2 linked regions of the Arabidopsis thaliana genome follow. The protein of the gene in region 1 interacts with the protein of each later gene in a pairwise test. Each region holds a gene or a part of one and is shown on either strand. Other genes may lie near its edges. The genes, in order: bZIP44 and BZIP9.

Evidence for each region.
Region 2: the proteins of bZIP44 (region 1) and BZIP9 interact in binary tests that used the Arabidopsis thaliana proteins (3 or more experiments, as listed by UniProt).

What each region holds. Positions count from the first base shown.
Region 1 is NC_003070.9:28,289,579-28,293,549, forward strand, and holds bZIP44 (basic leucine-zipper 44), read left to right. Parts: upstream 1-2,119; 5' UTR 2,120-2,645; coding exon 2,646-3,167; 3' UTR 3,168-3,430; downstream 3,431-3,971. UniProt on the Arabidopsis thaliana protein: Transcription factor that binds to the DNA G-box motif 5'-CACGTG-3' of MAN7 promoter. Involved in the positive regulation of seed germination through MAN7 gene activation.
Region 2 is NC_003076.8:8,513,088-8,517,237, forward strand, and holds BZIP9 (basic leucine zipper 9), read left to right. Parts: upstream 1-2,112; 5' UTR 2,113-2,171; coding exon 2,172-2,285; intron 2,286-2,390; coding exon 2,391-2,481; intron 2,482-2,578; coding exon 2,579-2,750; intron 2,751-2,842; coding exon 2,843-2,918; intron 2,919-2,996; coding exon 2,997-3,122; intron 3,123-3,199; coding exon 3,200-3,454; 3' UTR 3,455-3,582; downstream 3,583-4,150. Other genes in the region: AT5G24810 (ABC1 family protein), read right to left, coding at 3,815-4,150. UniProt on the Arabidopsis thaliana protein: Transcription factor.

The sequences.
Region 1 (3,971 bases):
TTTATTTGACATAATAAGTAATAAACATTAATATTAAATAATATTATCTCGGCTATTATGGTTGTATGATTTTTATTTTTTTGTGTGTGTAATACTATATATAAAATAAAACAGTCTCTACATCAGTTTTTATTTTATGAAATTAGATGTGATATGCCTGTTGCCCAAAAAAAAAAGAAGATGTGATATGCCTTAGTAGAAAGCAATAACAACAATCTTTTTGTTGAATGAAAAATTATTGAGGTGACGATTATTATTTTTATGGTAAGTGGTAACCATTTGTATTTTAGACATTAATTTATAGTGGGATCTTTTGCCTTTCCAATACATGTCGCATTTTTATTTATTTATTCAATTGATTTTGCGTTATGATAAATATATTTGAGATATCTTAATTAGTTCGATGAAACCTTGGGTATCTGAAAAATCTTCGATTTTGTAAAGAAAATTATGTTTCTGTATCGAATAAAATTAATTTTTCATTTAAAATGAAAGATTTTTTAAAAAAATAAGGCCAAATAAGCATTGTGTGAAGAAGACAAATTAGTACAAATTACTTTTTCTTACCTGTTGCAATGTTTGCAGGGACACATTCATTAATTGGAAATACCTAATTAACGTTAGACTTCACTTATTCGATTGAACCAACATTTTTTCTTTTTAAAAATCCATTTTCAATAATAAAATGACACGTGTCGATCTTACATCTCAACTGCGATGTTTGACATGGGTCCACATGCGCACAGAGCACGCACTCTTTGCATTGCAATTGCACGTGAGATGTCCGTACTATGACGGTCCATCTTACATAATTTTCCTATTCAATTAATTAAGCTATATATATATGTGTGTTTTACAAAATTTAGTATATAATATTATTGTAAGTTATAGAGCTGTAGATGAGTACGTATTATTCTTATTTCAATCTTTTTATGAGATTTATAGATATCAAAGTTTTGCCGAAATGTTTGATTAATTACGAGCTCGAGGATGAACAAAAAAATTTGGTAAAGAGTTTCTCACAAACCATTTCAGTTAAAGCACCAAAACCAAATGATTAAGTAGTCATGGTCCACATGTAATATGTTACACACAATAAAATTATTTTATAAATTGACACGAATTTACGTCTTGGATTCTACAATCCAATGTTATGTAACTATACGTACCACAACACGTCGGTCACATGAAGTTCAATGAGTTAAAGTTTTTGACACCCTTAATGTTTAGATAATGTATATATGTTCTTCTTTTTGTTGTCAAATAGTAGTTTTTTACCGTACTGTAATTTACTCGTTTAAAGTTTATTGTTTTTTCTTTTTGTCTTTTCTTTTCGATATGTAACTTGATATTTTATAGTGGACTCCAAAACGTTATAGAAATATTGTAAAGATAATAATAGTTCTAATTTTGATGCTTCATACGGCGATAAATTCAACGGCTGGTTAGTTGATAGTTTTCTAAACTATTAATTTATTATCCTAAATATATATATTATTTTTTTGGACAGCGAAATTGATTGAATTATTGACAAAAAGATATATGTATAAGAAATTAAATAACGAAAATACCACCTCTACCCTCATTCATGATTTGTCTCATGCTCCAGGTGTCCGTTGCTCAACGGTTAATTCTGGTACTTTGGGCGGTGATTTTGATGTATTAAAAAGAAGTCGAGAACCAACGACAAAAGTTTCAATTATTCTTATTATTATTATCTTTAAGATTCTTTAGCAGTAAAAGTTAGCATTAATACAAAACTATTATTATCAGTGTTACTGTAATATTGTTGAAAGCCATCATTTGACCAAAATTAATTAAACGCGTTGTTTTCATCAGAGAATAAAATTTGAAGATTTTAAAAATCAAAACTTTTCACAAAATAGGATACCCAATACCGAAGATTCTTTCCTTTTCCATATTAAAAATGTCTAAAAATAGTTATTGGTTAATTATACAGAATCATTAATTTACAATTAAACCCATACACATAAATATATAAATAAAATATTGCAAAACAGCTGTAACTTGACTGTTTCGGAAAATCCCACTTCACATGCTTCATCTCTCAACACCTTCTTTCTGATATTCACTTTATACTCTCTTTATTTTCTTATTAAATCTAGTATGCTCTAAACCCTTTTTGCTAACTCTATAAAATCCCCTCACAAATCCTTAATTCACCTCTTCCCCTTCGCTCTCGAATCAATCACTCTCTCTTCTTTAGCGTTTTTATTTTGTCTTCCTCGTTTTCTTCTACCTTTTTATATTTTCTCTCTTTTCAGTTTTCTCTAGAAAAAAACACTAGTAATCAGTTTGCGTTTGATAAATATTTGATGTGGCAAAACTCTTGTGGATCTTGATGTTCAAACATTCATGTCTCCGGTGATTAGTGAAATCCTTAGATCTGGTTTAACTATAGACTCGTCTCTTAGACGCAGGACCCATCTTGTTCAATCTTTCTCCGTCGTCTTTCTCTACTGGTTCTATGTTTTCTCATAAATCAGCTCTCCTTTAGCCCTTTATTATTATATATTCTATAACCATAATAATATATTAAAACTATATACTATAATCTTTTTACATAATAAACTTTGGGTCCTGCGTCTTAATCATAGTACTTAATTTTCTCTGTGTGTTTTAATATGAATAATAAAACTGAAATGGGATCTTCCACAAGTGGAAATTGCTCGTCGGTTTCAACCACTGGTTTAGCTAACTCCGGTTCAGAATCTGATCTCCGGCAACGTGATCTAATCGACGAGCGGAAGAGAAAGAGGAAACAGTCGAACAGAGAATCTGCGAGGAGGTCGAGGATGAGGAAGCAGAAGCATTTGGATGATCTCACTGCTCAGGTGACTCATCTACGTAAAGAAAACGCTCAGATCGTCGCCGGAATCGCCGTCACGACGCAGCACTACGTCACTATCGAGGCGGAGAACGACATTCTCAGAGCTCAGGTTCTTGAACTTAACCACCGTCTCCAATCTCTTAACGAGATCGTTGATTTCGTCGAATCTTCTTCTTCAGGATTCGGTATGGAGACCGGTCAGGGATTATTCGACGGTGGATTATTCGACGGCGTGATGAATCCTATGAATCTAGGGTTTTATAATCAACCAATCATGGCTTCTGCTTCTACTGCTGGTGATGTTTTCAACTGTTAGAAAACTTCACATCATTATCATCGTGAGTGAGACTAATCATCGCAGCAGGGGTAAAACTGTAATTTTTCTTATAAATTATGTGATGATGCTTTGTTTCTTTATTTTATAAGATGGTTAATTAGTGTTTAAAACTGATTGTAATGATAGACAGTGTAAGAAATGTGTGATATCATGGAGATGGTGATGTGAGTTTGGTACAAATATTTTAAGATCTTTTCTTTCTATATATTAAAAGTGAAGAAATAATATTTTGTCATTTTCTTAGAGTTTTCTGTTTCCTTATTTGGGAGTTATTGTTGCTCTTATTAGAAAGATGAAATTTTGGCTATTAGTGAAATAAATGAAAATAATGTGAAAGCTCGTGGACGGTTTTTGTAGATGGCGGTGGTCCATTTAAAATACTATATAGAAATGGTGTGTTGTGATTATTGTGTTAGAGACTATATTTTCCCGATGTGATAAAATAATTATGCATTTTGGTACTTACATCAAAATGAGTTGTTATCATGGGTCACTCGAGTTTTTTTCTTTTTTAAGAATTTTATACCATCTCCATCGAAGTATCTGATTGAGATACTCATCAAATAAATAATAATTAAAAAGAAAAAAAACAAGAGAGAAAGAAAGAAAAGTGGCGAACCGTTTCTGGCAAAAGAGACGATTCTTAGCATTTATTGAGAGTTGTCATTCAACTAATGGTTTATTTACTTTAAACTAATTAAAATATATTAATTTAATTAAAATACTAATTTATTTATTTTTTGAGATATTCTCTACCACTTTTGTCGATGAAGATGCTCTTAC
Region 2 (4,150 bases), on another chromosome or scaffold:
TTTTGGTTAAAGGATGATGCTTATTGATAGTACATGACGATGATATCATAACCTCCGGATTGTTAATAAATGCACTTGGAGATTTTCTCTTGTTATGACTTATGGCCTTGCTTTTATGAACTTTTATTATTTGTGATCTTTAACCTCTAGCTTCAATCTCGTTCACGTCATACATGATCTTTTACTGGAATAATATTTTAAATCTGTAACCAGAAAGATTCTAAATATAATTACTACACTAAATATTATAGTATCAAAAATAATTTTTAAAAAAAAAAAACAAATAAAGATTCAATTGGTCCCTCAAAACTGAAACTAAAGATTCTAGTGTTTTTTATTTGGTCACATAAACTTTGATAAAATTCATTTGGTCACGAGAATTCTTGTTTTTGTCATGAATTTTAAATGAGAATTTTTGTTTGTTCTATAATACTTTTATCTACCCATGACCAAAAAATATACTAACACAGTTATATGATTTGAAAAGTAATTTCTGAAAACTAAATCACCCCAACTACTCTAGTGATCACTAGACATAGAACAACGTCTTTTTTTTGTTTCTCTTTTCCTTTGTTTATAATTCCTTTCATCTTCTTTTCTTTTTCTTTGCAAAACCTCGTTTGGAGATTACAAGTAGAGTTTGTAGAAACAGAAAAATTACTTCTTCTTTTTTTGCTAAAAGAAAACAAAAATTACTTTTGTGTTCATAAACTAATTTTCATTCATATTTTCTGTATTTTAACTTACAAATTTAGCATGTGCCTCAAGTAGAAATTCGTTTCTTACAAAAAACGTATATCAATCATCATCTAAATTACATGAAAATTTTCAACATCACTAAGGATTGAATTTTAATTGTACTAGTTACTATGGTTACTGAATTGTACTGTAGTCGGTAGATTGTAAACATTGTAGTCCACTATAGGTTCGAAAGTTCTAGTTAGTGAGAAATAATAATTTTAAAATGCTTTTGGATTCTATTTTCGGATCTAAACAACTTTTGTTTGTTTAAAGACACATTACCTAGTTTGTTTCTTTTTATTGTTTTGTTGTGAAATATTTTAACTTTTTAAAGGAAGTGCAGATCAAAAGAAAGAAAAGTTGGTTTACGCATACAAAAGTTGATGAAATAAAAAGTATTTCTGGTGCTGGAGGAAAGAAATGTCTTTTAGATCTGCTTTCCAAAAGCATATGGCGAAAAGTAAGAGTAAACAAAGGACGAAGCATTTTGTGTTGTTCGTGTGACCGGAAAATTCTTAAGTTTTTCTTTTTGGTGTTGTAGTAGTAATGAATGATAATAAATATTTTAAAGATTTTTACTACATGATACAAAGGTGTAAAAAACTGAAACAATATTATCAATATTTTTCCTTCAAATATTATCAATTATTTATGAAGATTAGTTTTTAGTGTTTTATGAAATTATATATTCGGTAAAACATTTACCGTAAAAGGTTAATTTATTCATTTTCAATGTTTTTGTAGTTTCATCATTGGACTATGCCCCTTGTATATTAATCTTAAATTAGTCGTTAAGTACTTCAAATTCGAATTCAAACAGGTTATGTAGTAGAGTAATTTATGTAAGTGTAAGGTTCTTGACATGTGCCAAGAATACAAATGTACATGAGTGACAATATTATTATCTAAATATTTTCAAATATTTAAAAGCTTATTTCGAAATATTTTAGGATCCTTTTATGAATATAAGCTGCTTATATATATGCCTATAACATTCATTTTCAAATCAAAAGCTCCAACATATTAATGAGCTGACAAACAACTTAATGTTTGAATTCAGATATGATTTATATTGAAAGAGTCTCCAGCTATCTTAGATAGTCTCCCTAGTTAAGGGATTAAAGGTTATCATTAGCATATAATTGGTACCATAATATTCACCAATACTACAGAGCCTAATATACATCTCTGTGGCTTTGCTTTTCTATTCTCTTTTGTTATTGTTGTCATTAAAGAAAAAAAAAGTTGGAAATGAGGACGTTGCATTGACAATGCAAATTCAATTTTGCTTAGCCATTAAGAAGCTTTTTCACAACTTTAGTAAAGAAGAGAGACTTATATAAAGAAGATGTCTATCACCACTTACTCTTCCCCTCTCCTCTCTTTTCCAACCAATTCTCTTCTTTCTTGTGTGTTCACATTCAAAGAAAATGGATAATCACACAGCTAAAGACATTGGTATGAAGAGAAGTGCTTCTGAGCTGGCTCTACAAGAGTATCTCACTACAAGCCCTCTAGACCCTTGTTTCGACCTCATGAACCGGGTTAGTCCTTTTGTTGTCTCTCTTATTCGTATCATTGTTGCTTGTGTCTATATCAAGATCCAGAGATATTGTAGTAATTAAGAGTCTAGTTTCTTTTGGTTGTAGGATTACACTTGTGAGTTAAGAGATAGTCTTTTGTGGTCTGAGGGATTGTTTCCGGCTGGACCTTTTCGCGATGCACAGTCCTCAATCTGCGGTATGTGCATGTCTCTTTGATTTGACTCCATGTAAGTAATAAGTGTTGTTGCAGTTGATATTAATGTTCACTACTTGTGTGGCTCTTATCTACAAAGAGAATCTGTCAGCTGATAGTCCAGTGTCAGCCAATAAACCTGAGGTAAGAGGAGGAGTTAGGAGAACCACAAGTGGATCTTCTCATGTTAACTCTGATGACGAAGATGCCGAGACAGAAGCAGGGCAATCTGAAATGACTAATGATCCCAATGATCTGAAACGTATTAGAAGGTATGTTAGGTACCAATAAAAAAGTTAGATGTAAAACACTGAGATAGAGAATCACCAATTCTTCTTAATCTTTTTCTGTGATGTGAATTCAGGATGAACTCAAACAGGGAATCAGCAAAGAGGTCGAGGAGAAGGAAGCAAGAGTACTTGGTAGATCTTGAGACTCAGGTAAGGTTAACAAATAGCTTGTTGGATGATTTGTATCAGAGAGTAATGTTTTAATGGTGACCTTGTGTTTTCTTCAAGGTTGATTCTTTGAAAGGCGATAACTCAACACTGTACAAGCAGCTCATAGACGCAACACAACAGTTTCGTAGCGCTGGAACAAATAACAGAGTTCTCAAATCAGATGTTGAAACTCTGAGAGTCAAGGTATCATCTATCACTTGCTCTTTTCAATTTGGGAAAGTAATAACCGGAATGTGCTAAGTTAAGTAAATTCTATATAGGTGAAACTAGCAGAAGATTTGGTAGCGAGAGGGTCACTCACTAGCAGCTTGAATCAACTTCTACAAACTCATCTAAGTCCACCATCACACTCCATCAGCAGTCTGCACTACACGGGAAATACCTCGCCCGCCATTACAGTCCACAGTGACCAATCTTTGTTCCCTGGAATGACACTTTCTGGACAGAACTCAAGCCCTGGACTTGGTAATGTATCCAGTGAAGCTGTTAGCTGCGTCTCAGACATCTGGCCATGACTCTCTTTCTTCAGAACATGTAATGATCACTCAGCGAATTTCCTGTATGTGTTTCGCTATAGAACTAGAAACATATAATGAAAGCAGCATGTTCGTTAAATAAACTCAAGTTTCGTCAACATATACTTAATTGCTCCAAATCCTGCAGATTGTAATCTGGAAACTGAAGCATGTATAGGCCAATAAATTACATTCTCCAAGGAAATTGCTTAAATGTGTTCGCTTAAGTAAGTATACAGACAAACAAACAAAAACACTGATCCATTACACTTTACTTTCCAGCAATTTCTATTAGCTATTTAAGGCGACAGCTATGCATGTTGTAACATGAGCAGACAAAACTTACGTCGAAAACCAACCTCAGTTGATTAGAGGCGTACCCATCTGCGAATCTGCACCTATATCAGTTGCGAAGTCCTTAGGCAATGGGATATTTAATTCCGAGCAAACAAGCTTCACAATATTAGCCGTTACACCTCCCATAGACATCTTGTTCAGTGTTACTGCAATGGAAAATCTGTTGTTGATGTCACAGAAGCCTGTTGATCCTCCTAACCCTGAATGTCCAAAGCCAACCAGAGACCCATCTTGAGAAATGGCGCGCTTAAAACCAAGCCCAAACTTTCCATCAGGCACTACTAAGCCACTGTAGTCTCCAGCACCCATGAAAGCATCATGGATCCTCGGGTTGCTAAA